7 linked regions of the Sus scrofa genome follow. The protein of the gene in region 6 interacts with the protein of the main gene of each other region in a pairwise test. Links are inferred from orthologs where the notes say so. Each region holds a gene or a part of one and is shown on either strand. Other genes may lie near its edges. The genes, in order: NAB2, CCHCR1, C4H1orf189, KRT18, FKBP6, NME7 and FOSL1.

Region 1 (4,131 bases), on a different chromosome or scaffold from region 6:
AGAGAATCTTGGCTACTGAAATTCCCCCCAGTGGTGCACCTCTCTTCTCCTGTCCCACCCGGAGACGGGAGGGTCCCCTCGCCAGGCCGGAATGTAGAACCAGCCCTGGCCCACGCTACCCACTCCTTGCTGGCCCGGGCCACTCAGAAGTGCTGAATGATGGGTGGGGCTGAGATTTTGGATTAGGGGGAATTTTGCCGCCCCTCCTCCTTCATTTCCTCGGGGCGTAGAGCCGCTGGGCCGGGCTCTAAGAGACCCCGCCAGTCGGCCCTCTCAGCCGTGGGCGGGAGTGTAATGGGAACCAGATGGGGCTGGGAAAAAGAAAGGGGAGGGATGGTGGGTGGCAGAGAGGGGCAAAGCTCCTTGAAGGAGCTCCTCCCTCCTACTCCTCGGTAGGGAGCCACGTCGGTAGGGAGCCACGTCCGACGCGCCCGGCCTCCGCCGGTCTCCCACTTGACTCCGGCGAAATACCTTCACAGACGTCCCTAGAAGGGGTATCCTCCTCCCAAAGTTGCCACACAGAATTCCCCAGAGGTAGGTCCCCATTCTCAGCAAATAGGATGCTACTAGCGGAAGAAGGCAGGATACCCCTCCCATCCTTGCCTGACCTAAGCACTAACAACCCAGCGCGACTAATAGACGCGCGTCTAAGCAGCAGGTTATGGCAAACCCCGCCCATTTCTGTTCCCCGAACTTCGACGTGGTTTGGGAAGAGTGCGAGGATCTGTGAGGGATTCCTGCAGAGCTCCACGTTCACAGATCTGTCCTAAGTGCACACTCTACGGGAGTCAGAAGCACCCACGAGAGGAGCCGCGCACCCCAGTCTCCCAACTTTTCCTGGCTCACTCCTAACATTCACACGTATAGCACCGCGAAGCCCGAGTGTGGGCAGCAGGCGACCGGGTAGTTGTTTAGGCGCGTGTGCCCGTCGGTGTGCTTCTCTGTGTCTTTGTGTACCTGTGCGTGGTTGTGAAACTCCGCTCTCTGCTCAGAGGGGAAGGAGGAGTGGGAGTAAGAATGTCGCCGGCTGGGCGCTCACGTGGGTACGTGGGCGCGAAGAAGGCCGGCTGTGCATCCGGCGTAGGCGGCTCCGAGCGACCTCGCCCCGCCCGCTGAGTCCCCAAGCCCGCCTTCCACAGCCCGGCCTCGGTCACTTTAGTCCCCAACTCGGCGCCCTGGCGCCGAGTCCCCGCCCCCGCCTCCTGCTCCACACCCCCCTCCCCACATTCTCCGCCTCTCTCCGCCTCTCTGCTGAGGCTTCTCCACCGCCGGCCGAGAGGCCCGGGCGCCCGCCCCCCGCCCACAAGCCTCCGCCCCCGGCTCGGCCCACGCCCTCCGCCCGCCTGGCAGCCAGTGCTGCGCCGGGCCTCGCTCCCCGTGCGTCCTGCGGGGGCGGAGGCGCGGAGAGGCGGCAAGCGCAGCCGGGGAGGGGGGGGGTAGAGGCACAGACAGAGGCGCGGAGGCTCGGAGAGAGGAGACGTGGAGGAAGGGACGGAGCCCGGACAGCGGCGGACACGGCCTCGCGCGCCAGGAAGATCGCAGCACACAGAAGGCGCCGAGCGCCGGACACTGAGAGGGGCATCCCCGGTGGTCTCCAGCCGTCCATGCACAGAGCTCCCTCCCCCACTGCCGAGCAGCCGCCGGGCGGAGGGGACAGCGCCCGCCGGACCCCTCAGCCCAGACTCAAGTAAGTGGGCAAAGGGAAGCGGCGGGGAGTGGAAATGGGTGGAGCTGGACTCGGGGAAAGGGGTCCGGAGGGCGGAGGTCGAGGAGAGGACTAGGGGAAGAGGGACGGGGGTGGGGGGTGGAGACTGATGGAAAGGGGGTGCGCCTTCGAATTAGGGGGCCATGGGAGCAGGCAGGGATCTGATGAAGCTGGATGTGAAGGAATAGTATCTAATTCTCCATTCCTCGTTTACTCTGTGAGCATGACCTGGCCTGTGAGCCCCTGCAAAGAATGTGGGGGCTCCTAAGTGCCAGGGGAAGCCCTGGAGTTCTAGCTGGCAACAGTGCTGGGGAAGAGCCGCTCAGCTGGCACAATCTGTGGTTGGCATGGAGCGCGCCGCTTTGGGGTCGGGAGAAGTCGGCGCCTTTGAACCAAGAGCGCATCAGAGCGGCTCTGCAGGAGCAGGACGTGCCTTAGGCGTCTATTTCCATTTCCGTACCTTTATTTACAGAGTGGGGAGGGGAGTTTCGGTGTGCAGCCCCTCCCTCAAGAGGCCTTGAGTCGCTCCCCCACTCCACTTGAAGATGTGGATGGAAAAAGGGAGAGAGGGGTAGGCGGGAGCCCCCCGGCGGTTTTCGCCCACGGACGCTACCACCGTGGGAGTGTGTGTGGGCGGAACGGGCCGCAAAGCAGAACAATTGAGGCACTTCTCCCCTCCCCTGTGCCTGAGCTGAAGGGATGGGCCTACCTCTGGAGCAGGTGGGAAGGTCACTGCTGGGAGAGGGACCAACCGAGGGCCACTGGGCAGTCTGGAAGAGGGGGGAGGTTCTGGGGAGAGACAGCAGGAAAATGCCTAATCCTTGGGGAAGGCTTAGCAGAGGTGGGAAAAGGTAGCAGAGTAGGGGTCTGCTTGGCTCCTTGAGCTGAAAAGGGCAGGGAAGCCACACCCTCTGCCTCAGCCACATGAGCATAATGCCACCAGAGAATAAAGCTGCCCAGGTGTCCATTGTAGGGAGGTGGGGGCTCATACATTCACCTCAGTGTGGGAAGCTAACTTGTGTAATGTTGAGATTGCTGGGTGTTTGGGGGGAAGACGAGGACTGTGTTCTGGAGGAGAGGGTGGTCCAGCCATCACCGGGGTGTGCTGGCTGGCTTCAGCGCGCAAGGTCTCCTTGTGCCAGGCCAGAAAAGTAAAAGTTGAGGATGGGGGAACAGAGCCTTTGACTTCCACAAAGACCAGTATGGTTTTTAGTACTTCTGGCCAGTTTGGGATGGCATTAGCATGGCTGTGACTCTGAGCAGTGGTTGGTTCTTGTGGTTTGGGCTCCGACCTAGGCACTGGGCAGAGAGAGCATTCGGAAGAGGGGTGGGAAAGAGAAAACAACCGTGAACGTGTGTTCGTACCCAGCAAGGAGGACTTGCACTGACCGCCATCCCCTCTCTGTCCTGTGCCTCCTTCTCAGGCCCAGTGCCCGAGCCATGGCCCTGCCTCGGACACTGGGGGAGCTGCAGCTGTACCGGGTCCTGCAGCGCGCCAATCTCCTTTCCTACTATGAGACCTTCATCCAGCAGGGAGGGGACGACGTGCAGCAACTGTGTGAGGCGGGTGAGGAGGAGTTCCTGGAGATCATGGCACTCGTGGGCATGGCCACCAAGCCTCTCCATGTCCGACGCCTACAGAAGGCACTAAGAGAGTGGGCCACCAATCCAGGGCTCTTCAGCCAGCCAGTGCCCGCCGTGCCCGTCTCCAGCATTCCGCTCTTCAAGATCTCTGAGACTTCGGGGTCCCGGAAGGGGAGCATGAGCAACGGGCATGGCAGTCCTGGGGAAAAGGCGGGCAGTGCCCGCAGTTTTAGCCCTAAGAGCCCCCTTGAACTTGGAGAGAAGCTGTCACCATTGCCCGGGGGACCTGGGGCAGGGGACCCCCGGATCTGGCCAGGCCGGAGTACTCCAGAGTCCGATGTTGGGGCAGGAGGAGAAGACGAGTCTGGCTCACCCCCGTTCTCCCCACCTGCAGGGGGAGGAGTCCCCGAGGGGACTGGGGCTGGGGGGCTGGCAGCAGCTGGGGCTGGGGGCGGTCCGGATCGGCTGGAGCCAGAGATGGTACGCATGGTGGTGGAGAGCGTGGAGAGAATCTTCCGAAGCTTCCCGAGGGGGGATGCTGGGGAGGTAACGTCCCTGCTGAAGCTGAACAAGAAGCTGGCACGGAGCGTGGGGCACATCTTTGAGATGGACGATAACGACAGCCAGAAGGAAGAGGAGATCCGCAAATACAGCATCATTTATGGCCGCTTTGACTCCAAGCGGCGGGAGGGCAAGCAGCTCAGCCTACATGAGGTAAGGATCCCAGCCTCCCAGGAGTGCTCTTGACTCCCAGGCCTTGACCCACTCATCTCTGAGAATGATCACTTCCCCAAGTCTGTTTCATTGACCTTGACCAGGACCCCAGGCCCTGATCCCTTCCC
Region 2 (4,259 bases), on a different chromosome or scaffold from region 6:
TGCAGCCCAGAACTGCCATTGCCCAGGCATAAGGCTGCTCTGCTCACTCCTCACCTTGGCTGCTATGGTCCTCCAGGCTGACCCTCCAGTCATCACCCCGGCGCTCAGCGTGCAGCTCCGCGTGGACTTCCGAGATGAAGCCGGGCTCCTGCTGGGGCCGCAGGGCCACATCACACAGGTCGGCCCTGCAGCCCAAGCGGTAGGTGCAGCCAGCCCCACTTGGGGGGTGGAAGGTGTAAAGGTCGACACCCCTGCCGCCCCCTATGCGCAGCAGCTGGAAGCAGGGCAGCATGGGCGGTGCCCCCTCTGCACCACCTCTTCCACTTCAGGAATCCATCACTTCCCAATCCTGGGCCATGCACAGCTGGCCTAAGTTCTCTTTCCCTCTGATGCAGAGTTGAACTGTGCTTTGTGCAATCTCAACCTTGGGCACGCTCCCCGAATAGTGTAAATTCAGAGTGCAAGGGCCTAGGATTCGATGCAAGATTGGCTGTCAACAGTTTTCCAACTGAAAAATTTCGTGAGGGTCCCAGTATAGTGCAAAGACGAAGATGTCCTATGGCACGAAGTTGAATCAGATCCTCAGGCTGCAGAATATTCCGGGAGCCTTCAAGTCTGTGCCAGGCAACAATACGTTAGGCAGCTTCTGGGGAATATGCGAATTGCAAGGGGGGAGGACTGGGGTCCTGCTTCTGTGTGATACTAACTTGTCACCTCAGTGTAATTTGGAGAAGTTTCCTGTCAATTCTGCTAATCCAAACAGAGTAACCCACCTGCTAGCCTGCGCCTCGCTCTTCTGGCCAACCCCTCACTCATAACTAGATAGCTTAAACCCCCGTGGGAAGTCTATCCACTGTCATCCCTCCAAAGGCAGTGCAAATGGGTCTCTATGTTCTCTAACAAAGCGGATCTAAACCCCTGCTTCCCGACTTCTCCAGGTGGGATTAAAGACAGGATAGGGCTTCCCGGGATCATGCGAGGGAAACCCAGCCTTTTCCCTCCCCGCCGCAATCCAGATTCTTATCTACCGCGAGGTGCAGTCTCGAAGCGGTCCCCTCTCCGGGCAGTGCCAGCCTGTGCGGCAGCTCAGGATCTCTCAGGCTCCGGCCAGGGCTGGTGCTCCAGCGGCTGTTTGACAGCGAGGAAGCCGGGGCCAGGAGGGGCGCCGTCTCCGCGCGCGGGCAGTACCGACCCCGCCTTCGGAATTCCCGGGTCTGAACTTCGCGCCGAGAGAGCCCGCCCCCCGTGCCGTTTCTGATTGGCCATCTCTTTTGCCCTCCTTCTCTCCATTGGGCGACGCGCTGGGAGGGTCTCCGATCTCCCGCCTTCCGCTTTTTCTGATTAGTTCACAAGTTTTCCCGGGTTCCCGGAGTTGGGAGGAGCCGCCAGGGCGCGGAGATGCCCTCAGTGCCATAATTGGGCCGGGCTTTAGACTACCGCGCCTGCGTACACCTCTTCCCCTCCTCCTCCCGGAAGGGTGAAGGGCTTTAGAGCGTCCCGCCAACCTGCCCGCTTTGCGCAGGCGCGGTCAGGGGCTGAGGCCGCGCTTCTGAGCTAGGGGTAGGGGGTGTGGTCAAAGGGCAGAGGGGTCGCTCGCGCTGGGTAAGGGGTATTCGGGAAGAGTCGGTTGGGGGCGGGAAGGGCCAAGAGGGGGTGCGGGGGTGGGTTCAGGGGTCCACAGGGTGGAGGGGTACAGGGTCCGGGTAAAAGGACAAATGAAGTGGTCAGAACAGCCCTAGAGCTCCTCGTCCAGCAGGGCGAAGGCTCAGGAGTATCTGCGGGAGAGGCGGGAGGGAGAGCAGGCAATTGAATTGAGAGATGAGCGTGGGGGACCAGAATAATTCCTTCTGGATCAAAGCAAATTAGGATGTAGGGAGGGGCATAGGAATCTCAGATTGGGGGGGGGAATAGATGGATTCGGGTGGGAGGGTGGGGAGATCTTGAAGAGCCGTCTCTTGTCTGGGGCTCTGGAGAGGCTGGTGGGAGACAGGAATGGAAACTGAGAGGACAGTAGAGAGAAACTGAGCAGGGAGTTGCTGGAAGGGTTTGGATGAGATGACTTTTCTGCCAAGGGGTCTAGGCTGCCTGGATTCCCTGGGGGCCCCATAGGTGTCCTGCTCTACATGTAGCCATGCTCATCTGGGGCCAGGCTTTGGATCAGCGCTTTGATAAGGAAGGACCCAGGAGTCATGGCTTGGTGGTGTCTGGATGGGCTTCCCCAAGGCCTTGCTGAGCCATGGAGAGAACTCCGGCGATTGGGCTCACAGCCCCTGCACCGCACACCTTCGTCATCTCCATCCAGGAACAGCAGAGACTGTAGAAACTTAAGGAGGAGGGTAAAGGCACTGCCCAGAATTCTACAAGTATGAACAAAACCTAAGAGCTTCCCAGCCTGTCTCAGTAAATTTGTTCCATCTCGTGGCTGTTGCCATAGTTCTGTTAGGAACCAGATTGAGACAAGCAAGTGATTTTCAGATATTTCCTGCTTCTTTTGGGAAGTAGGAAAAGAGGAGCTAAGAGTCGGCCATCCCTGGCTGTTATTTAAGGCTTTTGACTTTGCTGTTGTAGGGGCTCTCTCTTTGGAAGGGGGCTTGAAAATTGAATTGGAGTGTCCTTGTTTCTCCTATTGTCCAGGAGAACATAGATGACTGGACACAGAATCTAGAGACTTCAGATGATATGGAGATGTTTCGACGTTCAGGTCAGTGGGATCTTGCAAGGGAACTGGTGATTGTGTCCCCCTGGGAAACTGACCATCTTTGTCCTTACGATTCCTCAGGTTCCACCAGGCTGATACCCCCATCCCACTTCCAAGCTCGGCCCCATCCAACTCTGCCGAGAATGGCTCCCCCTTGGGTCTCAGACATTCCCTTGGTCCAGCCCCCGGCCCATCAAGATGTCTTAGAGAGGCTGTCAGACAACCAGAGACCTCAAGTGACCATGTGGGAAAAGGAAGTTTCTGGCAAAGGGCAGGAGCCAGGGTGGCGAGGCAGGTAGGGATCTCCTGTTGCTGTTTTCTCGGGCTTGCTTGCCACTGTCCCTTCTTCACTGAAATAGATTCCTTTACCCTATTTCAGCCCTTCATTCCATGATTTCTTCATTTGTACATAAGCAATTGTTGGTGCCTACAGTGCACAAATAATAATAAGATGATGTGCTTGATGCTAGGGACAGGGGTATCAAAACTGAAAAAGAAAAAAGAAAGATCCTGATATCATGGAATTTAAAATCCTAAGGGAAGGAGTTCTCTTGTGTCAAAAGGGTTAAGGATCCAGCCTTGTAAGTCCAGTGGCTCAGGTAGCTGCTATGGCACAGGTTCGCTCCCTGACCTGAAAACTTCCACATGTTGCAGGTGCAGCCAAAAAAGAAAGAAAAAAAATTCTAAGGGAGGAAATAGGTTGACCCACAGCCGATTGTATTAAGCGTAGAATAAGGTAAGATGCAGTACCTGCGGGGAGAACAGGCCATGTGCTGTGGTAGCGAGGATTCGTCCTGAGGGAGCTGTCCGTGCCATCTGTCAGTGTGTTACCTGTGAAAATTCTCATTCTTGATGTTTCATGGGTGTCTTCTCCCAAATGTATTGGAACGTCATCCTGCCATTTTGCTCAAGAGCAGGATTGCAGATGGGTCGACCTTGGATCCCATCAAAGAGAAAAGAGCATGATGACAAAAGGGGAGCACTGGAGTGAGAGTCAGACTCTTTGTGGCTAATGTGGCTACCAGCTGGGAGTCCTTTGGCCGTCACTTAATGACTCTAGGCTGCAGATCTTTGCTTCTTGAACAGCAACAAAAAAATGCTGTTCTGGGCCTCAGTGAGGAAGCTGTGTCAAGAGCCATGGGATAAGCTGGTTTAAACTTTATGCGACACCAGTAGACTGGTTGAGACTATGTAATTTATTGGAAGTGCTACCCTCTCAGACATCTCATGAGTACCTAACACTCAACTGATTTTTTTTTTTTTTTTTTTGACTGCCCTGAGGCATAGTGAGTTCCCGGGCCAGGAACTCAGATCTGAGCCACAGATGCAGCAATGCCAGATCCTTAACCCACTATGCTGGGCCAGGGATTGAACCTGCATCCCAGTGCTCCAGAGATGCAGCCAATCTATTGTTCCCCAGCAGGAACTCAATATATGACTTTCCCCTAGCGTCTGGCCCTGCCATATTGACACTGGAAGTTGTGACCTCTCTTTGCACCTTCCTCAAACTTTTCCTCACCCTTAAATCAGAATTCAGAAGTCAGAGTTCCCATCATGGCTC
Region 3 (4,225 bases), about 14 Mb from region 6:
CCACATTCAGCAAATATTTGCTAAGGACATTCCATGAAACAGAAAATTTTCTAGGTACCTGGGATACAAAGATGGTGACATGACAGGAAATGGGGACTCCAGGGAGAGAGAAAGAGGTTCTGAGAGGCAGGTGCTGGACACTAAGAAGTAGTTTTGAGTCTTACCAAGGTGAGAGGAGCAAGGACTAGACTACACCTTGGGACTTTAGAATGTGCCATCTGCAGCTAGATGTAAAGAGTCAGTGAAAAATAGCCTTAGTTTTAGGGTTAAAGAGTTACTGCTCTGGTGTGATGGTGAAAATCTCAGAGGCAAATAAGAGAGGTGAGTAAATGGTGGAGACTGAGAACTTGGGAATTCCAGTGGGCAAAGGCACAGGGCAGTAGAGGATGAAACTTTAGGTCACTTTTGCCAGAACTCACCATCAGTAGTTGCTTGTTAGCCAGTGCCAACTCCTGTACCACGGTGTTTTGCATCCTTAGGATGGCATATGGGTTTCTCCTCTGGCTTAATGTCATCTGCCACAGACAGTGAGTATGTGAATTTTGCCACCTGCCCCAGGCATAAAGGTAGGGTTGAATGGGTTGGCGTTAGGAGTGGAGACAAAAAACCCATCAGTGAGGTTGCTTCTTCACCAGAACTTCTGTGCTAATGTCAGAAGCCTGCAAACTCCTTGAAAGGGTAACTAGATACATAAAAGGAATATACCTACGTCCCTCTCTCTCTCACGTTTGTATCCTCTGTTCAGACAACCTTTGCTGACATTTAAAAAAAAGGGTTTTTTTACAGATGGCTGAAAAATTAAATCCATATGGGAAATATATATGTTAAATGAAAAGTGAAAGCTTCATTCTTCTGCCCCAGTTCTTTTCAACAGTTATCAGTTTCTTGTGTATCTTTCCAGAAAATTTTTCTATCATATGTCTTTTAATTTTTCAACATAAAATCATATATTTACATAAGCAGTATCAATTCACAATTTGGATTTTTCATATCAACACATAAAGATTTGCTTCAGTCTGTTTAAAGATTGCCTAGTATTTTTGTATCATAATTTAACCATCTACGTTGTTTCTAGCCTTTTAATTTTTATAAACAATGCTGTCATGAACACTCTTGTGAATGTACATTCTAGTGCTTTTGCAGATATATATGTGTAAGGAGATAAAAGTTGTCAGTTCAAAGGATATGCGAATTTAAAATTTTGATAGATTTCACCAAACTACCTTCATAAAAAAGGCTGCATCAATCTTGACTCCCACTAAAACTATAAGCATACTTGTTGCCTGACATCCTTGCTAAATCTGGATATAACCAGTGAAACCTTAAAAAACAGGTTTATCTGGGAGTTCCCGTCGTGGCTCAGTGGTTAATGAATTTGACTGAGAACCATGGGGTTGAAGGTTTGATCCCCGGCCTTGCTCGGTGGGTTGGGGATCTGGCATTGCCGTGAGCTGTGGTGTAGGTCACAGAGTCGTCTCGGATTCCGAGTTACTGTGGCTGTGGCGTAGGCCAGCAGCTGCAGCTCCAATTGGACCACTAGCCTGGGAACCTCCATGTGCTGCGGGAGCGGCCCTAGAAATGTTAAAAAAAAACAAAAACCAAAAAAACAAGTTTATCTTATTTAATCCCAGACCGTTTTAGTCAGAACATTCTGGGTTAACACCTGTGTGTTTTTAAAAGTTCCACAGGTGGAGTTCCCATCATGGTGCAGTGGTTAACGAATCCGACTGGGAACCATGAGGTTGCGGGTTCGATCCCTGCCCTTGCTCAGTGGGTTAACAATCCGGCGTTGCCGTTAGCTGTGGTGTAGGTCGCAGACGCGGCTCGGATCCTACGTTGCTGTGGCTCTGGCATAGGCCAGCGGCTACAGCTCCAATTCGACCCCTAGCCTGGGAACCTCCATATGCCGCAGGAGCAGCCCAAGAAATGGCAAAAAGACAAAAAACAAATAAAATAAATAAAATAAAATAAATAAAATAAAAAAGTTCCACAGGTGATGGAAGTACACAGCCTAGTCTTTTGATTCTTCCTATTCATTTGACAAATACTTAACTGTATACCAACCACATGGTTAGTACAATGCCAGAAAACAAATAATTGAATTTTCCTTAAAAAACAAAAACTTGCCCCAATTTTCCTCCAGAGAATGGGAAGCAAGGGGTTATAAAAACCATTGTCTATATAGCCTAACCCGATGTCCACTAGGCTTTTCTGCTTTTGAGAACACGGGCTGCTTCTTGCCCCCTCCACACCTGTTTGCCTTCTTGATGAGCCCCTAACAAGATGGAACAGATCCGAGAGGTGCCTTCAGAACAGGAGGGTGAAAAGGTCAAGCTGCAGTGTAAGGGAAGGGATAGAAGCAGAGATTACCTGTCCACCATCTTCTTCAGCCCCACGGCCCTTTGAAAACTCTGCAAGAAAAGGGAGTTCTGTTGACCTGCCTTGATCTCCAGTACCTCACCCTTAGTACCCCAACGTGATGGGAGACACAGTCCTCTTTTGAGAGAGGTAGTAGCAAACTTCCTATGGGAGGTGAATGCAACGAATATTTGAATTATCTACTACGTGCCAGACATAGTCTCCCAGTCCTTACCATCTTTGTTACATCAGGGGCCTCTATTGAGAAATGGTCCATTTCTGGTAAATTTCTCTGTAAATCTCACTAAAGGGAAACTCCTCCAACCCCACCCTGCTTCCAACTCTGCATACCTCTTCTACTTTTACCATCTTTTCCATAGACATGTCCACAGACTCGATATGGTCTTAGGAGACGGAGCTGGCTCTCCTTTCTGTTTAGTCCAGTCACGAGGTTTCAGTAGTCATAGCAACATTTATGGCTCCAACAATGACCCCTCGGCCTAAGTGTTGATTGGTCACCTGGCCTGCTGCCCTGGAGACTTGAAGGGAATCCTGGTTCGCCAGCCTTCTATTAGTGTCTCAGGCAATTCTATGAGCAAGGACCATAGTCCTAATTTTAGGCTTTCTTCTTTTGGGGTCCCAAGGAGTATCTATATGCTCCTAGGTCCAGAGAGCATATCATATACCTTTTATTAAAAGGCAATTGTAAAGGAATGAATCGCATGCTTTATTTTTTAACTCTACATTTTATTAAATAATTTATAAAGTCAGACCAGTATATTGGTCTTACCATTCCTTCACTCACACTATCCCCAAATGAGGGGGGATGGAATTTGTCAGGTGTCAAAACATTCCCTTTCCAATTTATTCATGACAATATGGAATGAAGTGGAAGGCAGATCCTTGCATATCAGGAAAGTTATGTTAATGGTTCAACACAGCCTGATTTAGATGGAGCACCAGAGTAAGTTCCACATACCACTCATGGCCTCACCTAACCTCCCCACCAGTTCCTATATGCTTTTTCTGTTAATCAACTCTTAGGTGTCTCAAACCCAAATGGTTCCCATTCAACTGTGTACAAAGGGGGCGATCCAGAAGACAAGACACCAAGCCCCATCACCCCAACTCTCACCCTCAGGATTTATTTATAGTCTGGAAAAGAGCAGATGAACCATGATCAAAATCAAGTGAGGATTTTCAAGGAACCTCTGACAGAAAGATTAAGAAAAACATATGAATTCAAATCCAGAGAAAAGTGCTACCAAGGGAAAATAAAGTCTTAACTGATGCTCTGAAACTGGCCAGAGGAAAGCATTGGAGAATGATCTTCTAGGCAAGAGCTCTAAACACAACTGGAGCGTCAGCTGATCCAGTCTGGGTTGCTGAGCCAGATGACCTGAGGGCTGCCGGGCAAGCACGCTGCAGTCTGTCTGGCTCCATCAACAGAGAGTCCTTCAGCCGCATCACAGAGTACTCTCCAATGTGTTATAGTTGTCCTTAAAGCTCTTCAATTCAAGGAAGTGCTTGGCACGTTTACTCTTCTGGCTGGAGGGGAGGTATGTCACCTGGATGGTTGTTGGGGAGACTTCAGGAGACTGGGTTAGGTCTTTGGCTGCTGACTGGTGTTGTCGCTGAGAGCTCCCACTTCGTGCTTTGACCCTAAAGAACACAGAGAGGGCAAGTCATGGGCAGAACAGGCCAATGGAAGAAATCAATTCAAGGCTTATCCACTCTATAAATTCAACCACAGCCATACATGTTCTCTGTCCTACCTCATAAACTAGTTAGTAATAAAATTCTATCTGGTAGCTTAGAAATAGCAGAGAAGTCAATTTTCCCACTGAATCCCTGGCTCTGGCTCAAT
Region 4 (4,182 bases), on a different chromosome or scaffold from region 6:
CAGGCCTGGGATGATCCAGGGCCAAGCCCCTCATCTGAGCTGCACCTGCCCCCTGGCTGGTCCTTTGACCCAGCTACTCCCCAGGGCACCTATCCTCCCAGGTCTCCTTGCCTGTCTGCCCCCTCCTCTTCAGTTTAGCTGGCAGCTCATTAAGAATCAATAGGTCACTGCAGAGCAAACAGCACAGACAGCTAGGTAATGCCAGCCCCTGCCTGACAAACCAGCTGCTGGTGGTGACAGGCCCAGAACCTTAGGATTCCTCCAGCTCATTCAGCAGGGGGTCACCATCCAGCTTCAGGGGTGAAGGGAGCTGTGGGAATTTCTCTACCTGCAGCCTTTTCACTCATATCCTGGCCGAAGCTTCCAGAAGGAGGCAGCCTCCACCCACTCCTTGGGATCCAGAGAACCTTTTGAGGAGAGGCAGGGAAAGGAAGAGGGCTTGCCAAAAAGTCCGAGTGAGGAGGAAGAGAGGGCCGACCACCAGGCTGAGGCTCACCTAGAATGTTTCTAGGTGCACGTGTCTGTCCTCTCGGACAGGAGAGCTCCATGAAGATTACCGGCGTCTTTTCACCACTGCTCCCCAGCAACTAGAACAGAGCCTGACACACAGTAGGTGCCCAACAAATATCTGTTGAACTGTACGTGCCCAGCTATTATTTCTTTACCCAAGGGTGTGGGTAAGGCTGAAACACAAAAGTGTGCAAAAGTGAGGACAAGTCCCCTGTTCAAATCACTGAGTGTTTCCCAGAGGCCAGGCCTCCCTGGGATGGAGCTGAGGGAAGAGGGGAAAGGAGACCCCGTTCAGAGAATGAGTTTGTTTTCCAGAGTCTGAACATGATTGGTGAGTGAAGGTGTCTGTGGGTAATTGACAATACCCGCCTATAGGATGCAGGAGGACTGTTGGGGAATCAACCGAGGTGGGGACCCGTGTAAACCAGCCAAATTGAGCCTCAGGATGGCATTTCTCTTCCCCAGGACTCTGGGGGCTCTAGGATTCCCCAAGATGTCCCCTGCAGGTGGGAACTTGGGGTGCAGGCTGAGCCCAGCTAAAGCAGACACACTCTTCTCCGGACCCTCATCCCCCAAATTCTCACAGGCTGGATCTCCTCTCCCTGGGGGTAGGGTGGGGGTACAATATCATCATTTCTTGCCGTGAAAGCACAGCTGCCAGAGCCACCTTCACCTGCTGCCCTTGCGGGTCTCCATCCCGCTCACTCACCCCCTTCCCGCAGGGTGGAGGGTGGCCGGGGCAGGGCAGGGCTGAGGGGGCGGGGAAAGGCTGGGGAGGGTCAGGAACCATGGGCGATGATTCCCCGCTGTTCACCTGTGACCCGGGCTTCCGTAGCGACTCCGGTGGCAGGGGCGGAGCCTGTCCGGGAGGTCCCCTCCCCTTCCCTCGGAGCTATAACTTGAGTTGCGAACCTAACACCCTCCACGGCCCAGCACCTGAGCTCTGGTCTCGCTCTTCCCTCGCGGAATAAGCAACATGAGCTTCAGCACCCAGTCCTCTTTCTCCAGCTACCGGTCCGTGCAGTCGCCGGGCCACCGGGTCCGACCGGTCAGCAGCGCGGCCAGCGTCTATGCAGGCGCCGGGGGCTCGGGCTCCCGGATCTCCGTGTCCCGCTCCAGCAGCGTCCGGGGCGGGAGCGGCTGGGGGGCCGGGATGGCCGGGGGTCTGGTGGGTGTCGGGGGCATCCAGGGCGAGAAGGAGACCATGCAGGACCTGAATGACCGCCTGGCCTCCTACCTGGAGAGGGTGAGGAGTCTGGAGGCTGATAATCGGAGGCTGGAGATCAAAATCCGGGAACACCTGGAGAAAAAGGGACCCCAGGTCAGGGACTGGAGTCATTACTTGAAGACTATCGAGGAACTGAGGGCTCAGGTAAGAGGGCAAGGAGGGAGCAGCCCCAACTCCCAGCCCTGATGGATCCTCCAGTTGTCGGCTGCCTTCCCTCTTCCTCCCCCTCCCCCAAGGATAGCAATTCTAACAGAGTGGGGTACGTTCACTCCTTCCCCCATCTCCCACCCCTCCTGCAACTCCGACTGGGGGGCTTAGGAATGCCCCAGATTTCCTTACACACCTCTGGCCACCGGGCTCCCAAGGGTGGTGAATGAGCAGGAAGGGCTCTTCCCCAGGAGAGAGCCGGAAGGGGAGGTGGGCATTTGCAAAAGAGTGGACAGCATGGAAGGAGGTGAAACAGGAGCGGAGAAGGGACAGCTGGAGGGGTTAAGCGGATGTGGCTAAAGCTGAGTCATCTAGGAGCAAACAGAAGGCCTACCTGTGGGAGAGACCAGTGGGGGAGGGGGGCCACTGAGCAGGTGCTCTCGCAAGAAATGCTAGGAGAAGGCCAGGAGCAGGCTTTTTAGCAGCTGCTCGTTTCTGGGCAGGCCAGCCAGTGGAGGCCTGGAAAGGAAGGGCAGCAGGAGGTGGGAAACGCTGGGATTTGGGACTCCAGGAAAGGAGGGGACAGTGTGAGGGGGCACAGGTGGAAGAGGAGAGGTATACAAGGAGAGCCTCTGGTTACCCGGGGACCAGGAAGGTTGTTTTACTGAGACACATGACACCTCCCAACGTACTCAGCCCTCCCCATCAACTTCCCACTCACCGAGCAACCTCTCTGTCCATCCCCCCAGATCTTTGCAAGTTCTGTGGACAATGCCCGCATCGTTCTGCAGATTGACAATGCCCGTCTCGCTGCTGATGACTTCAGAGTCAAGTAAGGATGGGGGGCTGGGGGCTGTGATCCGGTGGGGTTCACAGTGGGATCTTGTGCAGCTGTAGGTGGAGCTGGATGAGTGAGAGTAAGGCTCCGTCAGTTCACTTATTCATGAGCCCCAGTTTTCATACCCAAGTGCCAGTACCCAACTGCCAGGAACTGTGCTCTGAGGATTGTGATCGCCTGATTCTTGAGCCAGGTGGCTGGTTTGCAGTGGTCATGCAGCTGCTCTTAGGAGGTGGCCTGGGTTGAGAAGGTTCTGGATCAGAGACGAGGCCCTTCTCATCACCTCCACTCCCACAGGTATGAGACGGAGCTGGCCATGCGCCAGTCTGTGGAGAGCGACATCCACGGGCTCCGCAAGGTCATTGATGACACCAATGTCACTCGCCTGCAGCTGGAGACAGAGATCGAGGCTCTCAAGGAGGAGCTGCTCTTCATGAAGAAGAACCACGAGGAGGCAAGCAGGGGCCGCAAGACAAGTCTGGGTCGGGGAGTAGAGGGAGCAGGGCCCCTGCAAGGATTCTTATTTAGAACTACCAGCCTGAGCACATCTCCATCAGATTCTTGCCATGCTCGGTGGCTCACCTGAATGTGGTGAGGTCAAAAGGATATGGATGAGGAGTTCCCTTGTGGTGCAGCGGGAAGGGTTGAAACAGGAGCAGTAAAAGCAAGCAGTGATGGAGAAAGATACAAGGAGCAGATCAGTAGACGGAGGAACAGGGCGAAGGGAGGTGAGAGAAACCACTTGTGATTGATTTGTGATTGACAGGTATGGGCGGGACAGGTGATATTTACCCATCTCGAGCAGAAGGCCCATAACTGGCATTGCCCAGAGAGCAAAGTCAAGGGCATCCTCTGCTTTGTTGTCTGGTCGGCCCTGTAGGCTTCCTGGAAGAGGCAGCCCCGGATGAAGAGTCTTCCTGGATCTCCGACCCTCAGCCCCTCCTCACTTCCATTCCTCTCTCCTTTAGGAAGTAAAGGGTCTACAAAACCAGATTGCCAACTCTGGGTTGACCGTGGAGTTGGATGCCCCCAAACCTCAGGACCTCAGCAAGATCATGGCAGACATCCGGGCCCAGTATGATGAGCTGGCTCAGAAGAACCGAGAGGAGCTGGACAAGTACTGGTCCCAGCAGGTGCGTGAAAGGAAGGGATGGATGCCCAGCGAGGCACAGAGGCAGGAGGGGGCGGGAGGGAGGAGGACAGAGGAGGGACCTGAGCACCATGTCCACCCTGCAGATTGAGGAGAGCACCTCAGTGGTCACCTCACAGTCGGCTGAGATTGGAGCTGCTGAGATGACACTCACAGAGCTGAGACGGACCGTCCAGTCCCTGGAGATCGACCTGGACTCCATGAGAAATCTGGTGAGAGCCCTCACTCAGTCCATCTGTCCCCACCACCCTTGGTCCTGACCTCTGTCACCCAATCCTGTCTCAGCCCCAATCCTCCCCTTCCATCATC
Region 5 (4,231 bases), on a different chromosome or scaffold from region 6:
CCTGATCGGGATGAGAGCCGGGTCCAGTCTGAAAAATAATTGCTTTAACAGCCAGGATAATCTCAGAATTAAAGGTCCCCTCTGATGGCCATCCAACATCGAATGTCGGCCATTCAGAGACACAGAAAGTCTGCCAAGGTCCCTTCTTAACCTGAACTGACAAATTATGAGCCCTGGATTTAACTTCAGTCCAATGGTCGAGAGTCAAACTAAGAGGGGTCGTCACCGTCTGTCCCATATTAAAACTGTAGACAAGGACGCACAAGACAAAGACACACAAAACAGAAACCAACAGATCCAGACACACGCGACCCGTCCGCGTCTTCCACAAGCAGGCAAAAGAGTCGGACGGCCGCGGAGGGGGAAGCTTTCGCTTCAACAACAGAACTCGGTCCTCTGACCGACAGAAGGAGACCACCAGGCGTCCCTGGCTCTCCCCACCTCCCGGGGCGTCCCCCAGGGTGGCAGCCTGTGATCCTCCTAGCACGTCTGCTGATCACAGTCCCCCAGTCCTTACGGTCTGAGAGGACAGCTGCAAACCGAAAGCGCGCATCACCGAAAACAGACACTCAGAACAGAGACGCCAGCCGACACACACACTCACACGTTCCAAAGGGGATCCCTTTACCTCCAAGTCGGTTCTCGGGTGTGAGGGGTAGTCGCGGGTTTCCCGGCCAACGCACCAAACTGAAAGGCCAGTCGAGTTAAAATCCCTCTCGTCCTGACTCGGAAGAGGCGACACCCCAAATCACTCACGAGAAGCGGTCTTGATGCAAACAGCAAGAGGATTTTTATTCCGAGCGCGCTGGGGCCCACAGTCGTACGCCACGCAGGGGTAGAGGACTGCGGCCCCGAGTGTGGAGTCGGGACAGCTTTTATGGGGTTCACAACAAAGCCCGCGCTTTTACAAACTAATCATTTTTAAAATATCGCAAACCAGTCAATTCAAAACTTCGAGAGCCCGCGCTTTGTGGACCAATTAATTTTAAGTTGTTCTGGAGTTACATGTTTGTGCCTGTCTCTGGGTGGGGGAGACATATTGTCACCAAGATATATTTATCAGGATTTTCAACATTTTGTGGCACGCCCGATCTTACTGGGGTCCGTTAGGCAATTGACTTCTCCTCTTTTTATCTTATGCAAGCAGGTTTACAGAAGCCAAACAAGCAGTTAGGAGCAGTTTCAAGAAGTTTCAAGCATAGAGGCACATACTCAGGGGCCTGTTTTTCCCCTTCCACAAAGTTTTGTACAGAGCAGAAAGCAAGCCCTAAAACAGCAAAAAGTATGATCTTTTACCTATAGGGAACAGGGTCTGGAATTCGAGGGCATTTAGAGCTTCTTATTAACTTCCTGGGTTCTGGGAGAGTCAGGTTGCATTTTCATCCTTTCATCTGCACGTGCGTTTCCCCCACAGCAAAGCAGAACGAGGGACGGTGGAAATAACCCAGGGCTGCCAGGCCCGACGCTTCCAGCAGCCCGCCGTTTCTGAGGCCTTGTCCTCACCATCCTGCTTCACCCGGCCCGTGCCCAAAGCTTGGCCACCCCCTGCCCCATTGCTGGTCCTTATTCCTCGCGCCTTTGCCACGAGCCCCGTCAGGCCCTGCTTGTCCTCATCAGACGCCTGATGAGGCTCCACGTGCCCTCAATCTGCGCCCGCTCAAGCTGCGTGCGCCCCGTCACGTGCCCGGTCACGTGCCTTGCCACTCTCCCGCGCGTGCGCGCTCCCTGAGGGCGGTTGGCGGCGTTTGGAGCGGAGCCATGAGCGGCTCTTCGCGGTCCCTGAAAGGAACACCGCGGTCGGGTGCGGACGGTCAGGTATAAAGGGGCGCCGAGCCGCCGCGGAGGGGGGGGGTGCCGCGCAGAGATGGGGGCAGCGCCCGGAACCCGGGAGCCTTGCAAAGGGACGTCGCCCCCAGCCAGGTGAGGGCCCGGGCGCTGGAGAGGCAGGGGCCTTGGCCGCCGGAGTCGGGGCGCCAGCCCCGGGCTCTGAGACTCTGTGTTTCATTCCCCCACCAGTCTCTGTACCAGCGGTTAAGTCAGAGGATGCTGGACATCTCCGGGGACCGGGGCGTGTTGAAGGATGTCATCCGAGAGGGGACTGGAGAGCTGGTGACACCCGACGCTTCGGTGCTCGGTAACGGACCGCAGACCCGCCTGCCGTCCACCCTCGGGAAGCTGGCAGTGCCCAAGTGTTGGCGGGTGTTGGGCACCAGGCTTGGCTCTGCACTTTGATTTTGGAGGCCACGTTTAAAACATGAGTTTTGTTATAATTGGCGTCTTAAGGGATAAGGAGGGAACCCCTTACCCCTTTGTAATGGGACTACGGAGAACAAGGGATCCCACCAGCCCAGCTCTCGAACCTCAGAGCCTGTGGGCAGGCCTCCAAACGTTGAGCGAAGATTTTTCCAATCACTCCTGGTGAGGGGCAGTTTAAGGGCAGCTGGTACTTCCATTATTTTTGTGGGACAATTAAGGAAATTTGATAGGGCGGTGAGGGTGTCTTTGGTCCGTTTACCTCCCACTATCTCTTTCTTCTGTCCCAGTGAAATATTCTGGATATCTGGAGCACATGGACAAGCCTTTTGATTCTAACTGCTTTAGGAAAACTCCTCGGCTCATGAAACTTGGGGAGGGTAAGTTCAGAAACAGAGCTGGAAAAGAAGTGATCATTTGGGGAATTGCCCTAATGAGGGCAACACCCTAAGACCACAGAATGATCTGGAGCGCTGATTCTTTGAGTTGGTTTTCTGAGGCTGGGCTTTGCTAAACCAGCCCTGTTGTCTTCCATGCTTCCCTCCTTGAGACATAGGTGTTTGGGAGATGGCCTTGCTGGCAGAGTTATCTTTGCAGCCTGACTTAAATATTGGGTGCTACACTTTTCTTTGCTAGTTGATTAAGTCAACACCTATTGAATGCCTGCTACCTCCAAAGCACAGGGAAAAGAGAGGAGGTACTGAGGATTAGAAGGTCTGGGGCCAGTGTGGGGGAGGGAGATTAACATATTCCAGACAGCTAAACTGGTGGAGTTTCTAGGAAGTGTAAGCCATATTTTGTGGCAGTGCTCAATTGAAGGTAGAGTTAATTCCAGCTGGGAGGTTCAGGGAAGGCTTCATGGAAGAGGGGGCATTTGACATGATCCCTAACGTTTGAATAGCAATCCCCCCAAGGTAGAAGCTGGGCATGGGTGGGGGCGGGGGCAACACTGGAGGAAGAAGGAACTTCATGGACGAAGGCTGCTGCAGAGCCTAGAGGAGTTAAGGTCTGGGACGGAGGTGGTGGTGGTAGGGAAACAAGGCTGAGAAGCGTGTTGGGACCACAGTGTAGAAAGGCTGGAGATACCATGCAGAGAGATGTGGACCTGGAAGGGGGAAGAAAGTCATTGGCATTGGAACAAGATACTGGGTCGGCTTCCACCATGCTTCTGGTCCCTTCTTCCAGACATCACACTTTGGGGCATGGAGCTGGGCCTTCTGAGCATGCGGAGAGGAGAGCTGGCAAGGTTCCTGTTCAAACCGACCTACGCCTACGGAACACTGGGCTGTCCTCCCCTGATCCCCCCAAACACCACCGTCCTATTTGAGATTGAGCTGCTTGACTTCCTGGACTCTGCTGAGTCGGACAAGTTTTGTGCCCTCTCGGTGGTGAGTCCTGGGGCACAGATGTCAGCACTTAAGAGAGAATGGGATGGGTTTGTATTTCGGTAATTATCCTTATCTGCTAATGATCCTCAGCCCCAGGTTCCACTGAGGCCCTGGGGGGTGGGGGCGGGGAGTTCCCCACTTGTTAGTATTTGTCTGTCTTAGTTCTGGCTTCATGTGTAGGCATGTGTGCTAGGCTGAGAGTCTGCTAGGGACTAGCAGCTTGAGCTGGTCTCTTAGTCACTGTTTGTCTAGCTCTCCCTGCAAGACAGTGAACATTTGTTTCTCAACAGTGGTTTCCAGCAAATCAAGCATTGATAGATCCTGACTAGGGTGACCATATAATTTATTATAGCAGGACATCAGGTGTAAACTGGGACAATCCCAGGCAAACTGGGACAGATGGGTTCTGTCCCCATAACTTAAAAAAAATTGCCTTTGCTTTGTAGTCTTTCACTTAATTCATCCCTTAGAGTTTAGAGCTAGGTCTTCTAATCACCAGCAGTCAGGTCCTGTCCTTGTCATGCTGTTCGCCCTGACTGTCCATGTGGCCTTTGATATCCAGCTCAGGTTTACATATGTATATGATGTCT
Region 6 (4,127 bases):
TGCTGTTGTGGCTGTGTTGTAGGCCAGCAGCTTAGCTCGGATTCCACCCCTAGCCTAGGAAACTCCAAATACTGCGGATGCAGCCCAAAAAAGGGGAAAAAAAAAGGTATTAAAGTAATTACCTTCTCAGGAGACATGGACACTATTTTGTTCACTACATGACAGAGGAGCTTCTGTTTAGATGTTTAACAAGTGACAAAAAATTCATAATAACTTAATTTGCATTTCTTGGTAAAAATTAAAATGTCATAGCATATATTTTCAGAATGTATGCATGACCTTACTAAATCTTAGTCTTACTAAGATTCAGGCGAGAACATGAGAAGGAAGGTAATACTAATGCAGTGATCACGAATGATGAACCAGGCACTAGATGACAAATGGTTTCACTCACAAAAATGATAACTCTTGAGTACTCGATATAACTCAGCATAGCGTCTTCCGTGCCTACCTTCCTTAAAAGTCACACCCCCGCCGCCACTGTTCTGAAAAATAGCTCTCCAAAGACCCTTCGCAAGAGCAATGAACCCTCGGAAGATGCGCAGGGAAATGTACAAAGGTCTGCAGGCAAATACTAATTGAAGGGGGTGGGGGTGGGTCTGGAGTGTGTAACAGGTATGAAGGTGGCAGGAGTGGAAGCGACAATCCTGTCAACCTCTGCCATCCCCAGAAGTCAAATCCAAAGTTCCGTCCCTGTCTGAACAAACCTTCCTGGAACAACGGGCAACCTTTCCTTAAATCTAAAGCGACTGAATGAACAACACACTTCAATCCAAACCTCTGTCCCTTTCCAAAATCCCCTCTCAGTTACACAAGCCCTTTCCTGGACTTACCTCTCAGATTCTTACTCTCCCAATTGCAGGGGGCCTCACTTTACAGGTTCTTTGGCTAGATATCACGGGTTAACTTCCGCGCACACTCCTCTAGCATTCCGAAGCCGATCCGCCCCAACCTTGGGGACATCAAGCTTTTGGTTCACGGCTAATTACTTCCGATTACTCAGGGTTTCGTTTCCGGAATACTTTTCAGAAGGAAAACACTTTTGGTGCCATTTAAACTCAAGTGACGCAGTGACGCAGAATATACGATTCAAGACTTCAGTAAAACAAAACTGGGTAGACTCTTATTAAAAAATAAAAAAAAGAATACTTGGACCCTAGCCGCATATAAGCCTGAACTTCCGGGTCGCCTTTCAACCAAACGGAAGTGATGATGCTGGAAAGAGGTAGGTGGTGTTCCGTTGCTCCAAGCTACGGCGTGAAGGGGCGGGTCGGTCGGCTGGGTGGGCGGAGCTCTATTTACTCCCAGCCACTAAGGACAAAGGGGCGGGGTAGTGGCGGCCCGCTCCGAGTCCGGCAGTAGGTGGGGCTCTGTTGCCAGAGTAACCTGGCGTTGGTGTTGGTGTAGGTGTTTTCCAGTCGCAAAGTTACCTATTTCCTGGTGCTGAGATCCCGAGGCGATGGTGAGTGCAAGGCGGTGTCAGAAGAAAGGCATCGCGGTCTTGTTTATGCTTTGTCCCAGGTCCTGGGGCGTCTGGGCGTTGAGAGGCATCCAGATCGCTTCTACCTTCGGCTGGTTATTTCTTTGTCCCTTTCCAGGAACTGTCCGTGCAATTTCCTCGCTTTCCCTACTTCTTGCAGCACCCTGAATTACACTTTGGTCCTGCTGAGCCTGTAGAGTATTGTGACAGGAAGTTTAAGGCTAAGACACGGAGTCTAGTAGTCTGAGGTGAGACCTTATTTCGGTCAAACATTGGAGATGTATGCATTTTTCATCATTGCATTTTTTTCAACCTCTCAGCTTCACTTTAACACGCTTCATTTAAAAGTATGTGGTGATGTTTATTTGACTTTTTCATGACTGATCCGAATCTCTCTGAATCCTGTAGTCTTTGCTCTCTTGAGGGCCGAGTACCGTTCCACACCCTAAGGGCCACCTAATAATAGCTGCATTTTGCACTAGCCCTAAATTATACAGTTGATTACCTTTTAACAGGAATACTCCATAATATCACTTGGAAATCACTTCTGGAAAATTCACTTGCTAGAGCTTCACCTTCAGAAATTCTGCATGAATAGAAACAGGCTCCATATTTGCATTTTTAAAAAAGCCTATAGATGATTTTCATTCGATCACATGTTCGAGAATGCCAGGTATGGCTATGAAATTAAATATGGAGACCCACCCAGAGTTCCCGTTGTGGCTCTATGCATTAAAAACCAGAGTAGTATCCATGAGGATGTGGGTTTGATCCCTGGCCTCGCTCAGTGGGTGAAGGATCTGGCATTGCTGCAAGCTGCCGCTTAGGATTTAGCCAGAACCTGGCATTGCTGTGGTGTAGGCTTCGGATTGGACTCCTAGCGAGGGAACTTATATATGCCACAGGTGTGGCTCTAGAAAGAAAGAACAGCAACAACAAACAGAGATCCACCCACCACCCCTTCTTTCTCTGTTAGGTCTTGTGTTTCTAGTTCAGAGAAACAGGTATTGAAGGATAATGCTTCCATCTTTGCTCTAGATTTTATTCCCTCCCATTCCTTATAGGACTTTCTGCTTTTGGTTATATTTTTTTCTTTCCTGTGCTTTCAGCCTCTTCCTCACCATTTCCTTCTCCCCCCACCCCCCCCCCCGTGTTCAAGCCATACACCTTAAGAAAATGAAATAAAACAAAAGCACACCCCCAGCCTGTGTTCGTTCAGTTTATTGCCTAGTCCTCCCATTTATCAGTAAACTGCTTGAAAGCATAGTGCTTCCATTTGTATCAAATTCAGCTCTTTACTTTCATCCTCAGCACTCAGTTATCTGAATTCCTCTAATGGCTTCATGAAGTTGTTCTTGCTTAAATTTCTTATGGCCAAATCCAGGAGTTTCTTCTCAAAATTTATTTAGCCTCTCTTTGATAGATGAAGCTCATCATCATTCATTCCTTCTTTTTTTTTTTCCCCACTGGCTTTGCCTACTTTTTAAATGCCATTCTCTGGGATTCATTCCTTAATTTCTTAGTCTGTCCATTTTCTTTGGCTGATTTCATCCACACACAAGTGTTCCACTAATGCCTAAGCATTCATTCTTAAATTTCAGTTTCATCTCAGACCTGGTAAGCATTCATTCTTAAATTTCAGTTTCATCTCAGATCTGGTAAGACCTGGACACTTCTAGCTGGTTACCACAAAGGCCCCTCAAACTCAACCAAAACTGAACTTGCTGTCTTTTCACCTGGCTTTTTTTGTTTCACCAAGTTGATGCTACCACTATATTTATAACCTAAACCAGAAACCAGAGTTTTCCTACACTCCTTTCTCTCCTATGTCTTCTCTGTTCAGTTGGTCACCTGATTCTGGTTTAGTTTCAGATTTCCTCAATTCTTTTTTTTTTTTCCTTCGCTTTTTTTAGGCCTTCACCCGAGGCTTATGGAGATTCCTAGGCTAGGGGTGTAATCAGAGCTACGGCTACCAGCCTATGCTTCAGCCACAGTAATGCCAAATCTGAGCAGCCTCTGCAACCTACACCACAGCTCATGGCAACTCTGGATCCTTAACCCACTGAGCGAGGCCAGGGATAGAACCTACAACCCCATGGTTCCTAGTTGGATTCATTTCCACTGTGCCACGACGGGAACTCCGAGATCTCCTCAGCTTTTGCTTGCACTGTTGTAGTAGTGTCTTTAACACTCTGGTCTGGTAATTCTTCAATTCATTATTTTCTCTACCACAAGAAGGAATTTACTGAACCCTAAATCTGTTGATGTTAATTACCGCTTTAGAACTCTAGACTCCTCATTCCCAACAGTATAAAAATTCAGCCTATCTGGAATGGCATACAAAGCCTTCTATGATCTAGGACTTAACCTGTCTTGCTTCTGTCATGAAACTTTCTTAGACATTCTTTTAGTTACTTGCCTTTTCATTGAACATTCCAAGCAACTGCAAACTGGTGGTAAGCCTCTTTCCTCTACTTTGCACATGCTGTTCCTTCCACCTGGAATACCTTTACTGCCATGTTTGCTAGCCAAACTCCTATTGATTCTTCATTCCTAGGTTAGGTGTTTTTCTTCTTTCTCTACTCAGAGAGAGTTGACTCTTCATTCTTTTTTTGTCACAACTTTACACAGTACACATTTCTCTTAT
Region 7 (4,200 bases), on a different chromosome or scaffold from region 6:
CCTGAACGCATCTACAGACCTTGGCCTCTGTCCCCAAGGACAGCAGCCCAGGATCCCACCTTCCTGAAATCCTCCTTCCCTGAGGTCAAAGCTGGAACTGATCAAAAGGAGGTACCAGTGGAAAGCAGGAGCGTCCAGCTCTCTCTCAAGTGACCCTGGCGGCTCCTTACTTCATCTGGGCCTCAGTTTCCTCATCTGTAGAATGGGAAGAGACAGAGAAGCAGCTTTGGGGCGGTCCTCTCAGCACCAACATATGTGAAAAGCTGTCTGTGAGGGCTTTGAAATCGCTTGCCCAAACCTGGGCTGGGAGCTCCCACAGCCCTGATTTGGCAACCTGCTTCGGCCACTTGCTTAGTGATCTTGGGCCCTTCATTTCCACATCTCTCAGCCTCACTTCCCCCATCTGTAAAATGGGGACGATAATGGCACCTACCTCGCAGCGCTGCTGGTCTTCGGCTGTTGATATTTGTCCCTGGCCTCACATTCATACAGACTTTTGATGTAATCTCCAAACAAGGCTAGTGACCACACAGTCCTGGAAGAGTAGTTACAGTATTTAAAGAAAATGATGTTTATCAGACCACAGGACAAGTGCCCCACTGCAGGCTTTCACTGCTTACAGAGGTTCTGAATGAAAACTTGTCCTGACTCCTGAAATTACCCTGCGAGTAGGGCAATTACATTGCATAGTATTTGGGGATAGTTCAAAGCATTATCATGTCATTGTAAACATTTAAAATATACACCATTTTTGGAGTTCTCTGGTGGCTCAACAGGTTGATGATCTGGCACTGTCACTGCTGTGGCTTGGGGCGCTGCTGTGGTGAGGATGCCATCCCTGGCCTGGCAACTTCTGCATACCAACGGGCACAGCCAAATAAGTGTGTGTGTGTGTGTGTGTGTGTGTATCTACCACTTTTGTAATCCTGGTTTGTCATTCACTTTTTAGTAAACCTGAACCTTAAGACAACGCCAGTGAAAGGGCTTCACACCACAGACTTGGATGGCGGTAGCACGGTTCCTGGCATGAAATAAGCACCCAGTAAATAATGATAATGATGATAATAATAATGCTATCACATTTGTAACCCATTTTACAGTTTCCAGACCCCTTTCATTCCAACCTCCCACGCGCGGCCAGGGCGCTGTGTGATTATTTCGTCCCATTTTACGGATGCAAACACTGAGGGCTCTGGGATCTGGTGGCGGGATCTAGGTCTGCGCAGGTGGAGGGCGAGGCGAGGCGGGGCGGGGCTGGGCGGGGCGCAGGTGCCTCCGTCGGCGGGGGAATCCTTCGCTCCACCTGGGCGCGGCGAGGAAATTGCACCATGTATGGGCAGCTACGTCAGAGGAGGCGGACCTGCCGCTGTCGCAGGGGGACGTCAAGTCCGCCCTTTTTCCCCACCAAAAAGCGGCTAGCCGGCTGTAGGAGGCGACGAAAAGTTCAGGGCGGACTGGCAAAAGGCGGTGCGATTGCAGAGGTGGAGCCCCGAGGTGACCAGCGCCGCTGAGGAACGCCCCCCCCCGCCCCAGTGGAAGTGGTTCAGCCCGAGGACTTTTCATTCATAAAAAGAAAAGACTCCGCGAGGAGCGAGTGAGTCAGAACCAGAGCCGCCGACACGGACCCCACAGAGCAGCCAGCCCAGGGCATGTTCCGAGACTTCGGGGAACCGGGACCGAGCTCCGGGGCCGGAGGTGCGTACGGCGGCCCGGCGCAGCCCCCGGTGACAGGCCAGCAGGTGAGAGGAACCCTACGCCCAGTGTCCCCAGGTGGACAGCGCCTGAGACGGTGCGGGCCGCTCCAGCACAATCCGGACCGGGGCCGGGAACCGCAGGAGGGAGTGGGGCTCGGAGGGGTGGCAGCGGATCCTGCCCATTCTCGGTTGTCCAAGGGCTCTTTTCCCCCCACAGCCCAGTGGGACGCGCGCGGCGGGGGGGGGAACGAAGATCTGCGAACGTCCCCTCTGTGGCTCGCGCTCTTTCCCCCTCTCTCTGCGGTCTCTCCGTCCCTCCGTCTCTGTTACCGTCTTTCCTTCCTCCTGTCCACCGCCGATTTCTTTGTCCCATCTGCGTCCGAAGGGGACCCCTTGTCCGGGATGAGTTCTAGTCCCGGCAGAATCAAAGAGAACTAAATTCCAAGAGCCGGAGTCTGAGCTGCGGCCGAGATGTCCCCTCGCACAGAGAGGATCTACCGGCGGGCTGGACCCGGCAGACTGGGAATCCTGGGCGGTCTGTCTGTGATCATCCCGGCGCCCGCCCGTTTGTCTGTCCCTCCCCATCCCGTCGCCAGATCCTTATCATCATCTCGGCGCAGTGGAGCCTGGTGGGCTCCGGGAGACCGGCTCTTGACCCTTTTACGGGATGCGTCCGGCAGAGACCGTGAGGTGCAGGGAGACGTGCGCGGGGTCAGGCTGCGGGCAAGTCCCGCGCCCCCGGCTCTCGGCACCAAACGGCGCCCGCTGCCGGCAGGGGGGAACCTGGGAGGCTGCAGGTGCCCATTTCCTGTCGAGGGGCCGTGAGCACGTGTCGCTAGGGGAGGGAAGGAGCGGCGTCCGTTCCGCCGAGTCACGGCAGCCGAGTCACGGTGGCTGACTCACGCGGGGCGCCCCTCCCTTCCTGGCCCGGAGGGGCCCGGGCCTGGACAACCTCGGGAGCTGGAGATGCCGCCGGCGGTACCTTGGCCCGAAACTGGGGTCACTGGGCCATTGGGCCCGCAGCACTAAGCCGGGGACACTGCTGTCCTGACTTGTCTGGGCTTGTGGGGCGCTTCCCGGACGACTGGGCGCCCACACCCAGGGCTTGAATCTAGTTCTTTTTCCAAACAGTAAGCCCCCATCTCAACCCATTCCTCACGTTTCTGGCTGGAAGGGAATTGTGGCAGGTGATACCTGGAGCACATACTGTGCAGCTCTGCCTGGTGCCGGGCAGTTTCCGCCTCATTTATCTTAACTCCTAGAATCTAAGACCCCACTGATACTAAAACCCATCATTATTTTGTAGCACAAAAATTGTTTTCAAGTTGCCAATTGAACTATGAGAGCTGCTATTCAGGGCCACTAAAGGGTACTTCTTAGCATCATTGAAATGCTGTAATCCCTCCCTGTGACAATATTAAAAACGAGGAGACTGAGGCACACTGAGATTAAATAATTTGCCCAGAGAGCCAGTAAATGGCTGAGTTAAGATCAAAGCCGGGATAGCCTGAACCCAGAGCAGTGGTCCTTGTCCACACTTACCAGGCTCTCTCACACACATCCTCTCACCTGATTCTCACAATCACCCTTGAAGCCAGAAGCTGTCACTCTCCTCTTCATGCTGATGAGACTCAGGCTGCGTGCAAGAGTGGGCAAGGGCCTGGCTTCCTGGGCACAAACCTGCTTCCCACTTACTGGCTGTGCGTCTATGGAGAACTGTTTTCCTGTCTGAAAATGAAGATACTGTTGTGTAAATTATATGAGTCAGGATTAGCAAAGTCGTTGGGCCAGTGCCTGGAATTCACACTTTCTTAGCTCCGATGGGAGAAATGGAGGCCCCAGAGGTTGTGTGACCTGCCTAAAGTCACACAGTTCATAAGCAGGGATGCCTGCCAAGCTGCGCCCTCTCTGGTCTCTCAGAACCAGCAGCTGCCTTGAGGGTGGGCAGCAGTGTGACTTCTGTCCCCTGGAAGCCCCTCCGTCCCTACAGACCTCATCCCTAGTCCTCTGTGTCTTATCCCTCAGAAGTTCCACCTCGTGCCAAGCATCAACGCTGTGAGTGGCAGCCAGGAGCTGCAGTGGATGGTACAGCCTCACTTCCTGGGACCCAGCAGCTACCCCAGGCCTCTGGCGTACCCCCAGTACAGTCCCCCACAACCCCGGCCGGGAGTCATCCGGGCTCTGGGGCCAACTCCGGCAGTGCGTCGCCGGCACTGTGAACAGGTAAGGAGCAGAGGCATTTGCACAGGTTCCTGTGCCCGCAGGGCTGCTGAGGTGAAAAAGATAAGCTCTTGCTGAAAAGCAGAACACAGGCTTAGAAGGAGGGTGGGGAGAATAGGTCCACTGGTGACTACTGGCCAAGGCAGAAAGTGATAAGAGCCCCTGGGGAGACCCAGAAGGCAAAGTGGTCACTGGTGGATCAGGGAAAACTTCCTGGAGGTGGAGGCATATTAGCTGAGAAATATAGGTGGGATTTGCATAGAGAGATTTGCATGTCCCTTCCAGG

Evidence for each region.
Region 1: the proteins of NME7 (region 6) and NAB2 interact in binary tests that used the Homo sapiens proteins (3 or more experiments, as listed by UniProt). The two-hybrid records come from large-scale screens. The link is inferred for Sus scrofa from reciprocal best matches to the Homo sapiens genes NME7 and NAB2.
Region 2: the proteins of NME7 (region 6) and CCHCR1 interact in binary tests that used the Homo sapiens proteins (3 or more experiments, as listed by UniProt). The link is inferred for Sus scrofa from reciprocal best matches to the Homo sapiens genes NME7 and CCHCR1.
Region 3: the proteins of NME7 (region 6) and C4H1orf189 interact in binary tests that used the Homo sapiens proteins (3 or more experiments, as listed by UniProt). The two-hybrid records come from large-scale screens. The link is inferred for Sus scrofa from reciprocal best matches to the Homo sapiens genes NME7 and CFAP141.
Region 4: the proteins of NME7 (region 6) and KRT18 interact in binary tests that used the Homo sapiens proteins (3 or more experiments, as listed by UniProt). The two-hybrid records come from large-scale screens. The link is inferred for Sus scrofa from reciprocal best matches to the Homo sapiens genes NME7 and KRT18.
Region 5: the proteins of NME7 (region 6) and FKBP6 interact in binary tests that used the Homo sapiens proteins (3 or more experiments, as listed by UniProt). The two-hybrid records come from large-scale screens. The link is inferred for Sus scrofa from reciprocal best matches to the Homo sapiens genes NME7 and FKBP6.
Region 7: the proteins of NME7 (region 6) and FOSL1 interact in binary tests that used the Homo sapiens proteins (3 or more experiments, as listed by UniProt). The two-hybrid records come from large-scale screens. The link is inferred for Sus scrofa from reciprocal best matches to the Homo sapiens genes NME7 and FOSL1.

Annotation. Positions count from the first base shown.
Region 1 is NC_010447.5:22,398,944-22,403,074, forward strand, and holds the start of NAB2 (NGFI-A-binding protein 2), read left to right. Parts: upstream 1-1,331; 5' UTR 1,332-1,604; coding exon 1,605-1,687; intron 1,688-3,129; coding exon 3,130-4,003; intron 4,004-4,131. UniProt on the Homo sapiens protein: Acts as a transcriptional repressor for zinc finger transcription factors EGR1 and EGR2. Isoform 2 lacks repression ability.
Region 2 is NC_010449.5:23,555,310-23,559,568, reverse strand, and holds the start of CCHCR1 (coiled-coil alpha-helical rod protein 1), read left to right. Parts: upstream 1-1,459; 5' UTR 1,460-1,602; intron 1,603-1,938; exon of another isoform or gene 1,939-2,149; 5' UTR 2,150-2,189; coding exon 2,190-2,363; intron 2,364-2,568; exon of another isoform or gene 2,569-2,634; coding exon 2,635-2,701; intron 2,702-2,779; coding exon 2,780-2,993; intron 2,994-4,259. Other genes in the region: TCF19 (transcription factor 19), read right to left, coding at 55-292. UniProt on the Homo sapiens protein: May be a regulator of keratinocyte proliferation or differentiation.
Region 3 is NC_010446.5:95,529,716-95,533,940, reverse strand, and holds the start of C4H1orf189 (uncharacterized protein C1orf189 homolog), read right to left. Parts: upstream 2,801-4,225; 5' UTR 2,743-2,800; coding exon 2,710-2,742; intron 2,412-2,709; coding exon 2,371-2,411; intron 550-2,370; coding exon 420-549; intron 1-419. Other genes in the region: C4H1orf43 (chromosome 1 open reading frame 43 homologg), read right to left, coding at 3,825-4,020. UniProt on the Homo sapiens protein: Microtubule inner protein (MIP) part of the dynein-decorated doublet microtubules (DMTs) in cilia axoneme, which is required for motile cilia beating.
Region 4 is NC_010447.5:18,216,304-18,220,485, forward strand, and holds the start of KRT18 (keratin, type I cytoskeletal 18), read left to right. Parts: upstream 1-1,382; 5' UTR 1,383-1,486; coding exon 1,487-1,882; intron 1,883-2,634; coding exon 2,635-2,717; intron 2,718-3,020; coding exon 3,021-3,177; intron 3,178-3,691; coding exon 3,692-3,856; intron 3,857-3,959; coding exon 3,960-4,085; intron 4,086-4,182. UniProt on the Homo sapiens protein: Involved in the uptake of thrombin-antithrombin complexes by hepatic cells. When phosphorylated, plays a role in filament reorganization. Involved in the delivery of mutated CFTR to the plasma membrane.
Region 5 is NC_010445.4:10,668,144-10,672,374, forward strand, and holds the start of FKBP6 (inactive peptidyl-prolyl cis-trans isomerase FKBP6), read left to right. Parts: upstream 1-1,431; 5' UTR 1,432-1,758; coding exon 1,759-1,815; intron 1,816-2,016; coding exon 2,017-2,134; intron 2,135-2,543; coding exon 2,544-2,633; intron 2,634-3,438; coding exon 3,439-3,641; intron 3,642-4,231. UniProt on the Homo sapiens protein: Has an essential role in spermatogenesis. It is required to repress transposable elements and prevent their mobilization, which is essential for the germline integrity.
Region 6 is NC_010446.5:81,638,580-81,642,706, forward strand, and holds the start of NME7 (nucleoside diphosphate kinase 7), read left to right. Parts: upstream 1-1,327; 5' UTR 1,328-1,459; coding exon 1,460-1,462; intron 1,463-1,598; exon of another isoform or gene 1,599-1,728; intron 1,729-4,127. UniProt on the Homo sapiens protein: Possesses an intrinsic kinase activity. Displays 3'-5' exonuclease activity with a preference for single-stranded DNA. Does not seem to have nucleoside diphosphate kinase activity.
Region 7 is NC_010444.4:6,428,758-6,432,957, forward strand, and holds the start of FOSL1 (fos-related antigen 1), read left to right. Parts: upstream 1-1,400; 5' UTR 1,401-1,649; coding exon 1,650-1,739; intron 1,740-3,719; coding exon 3,720-3,917; intron 3,918-4,200.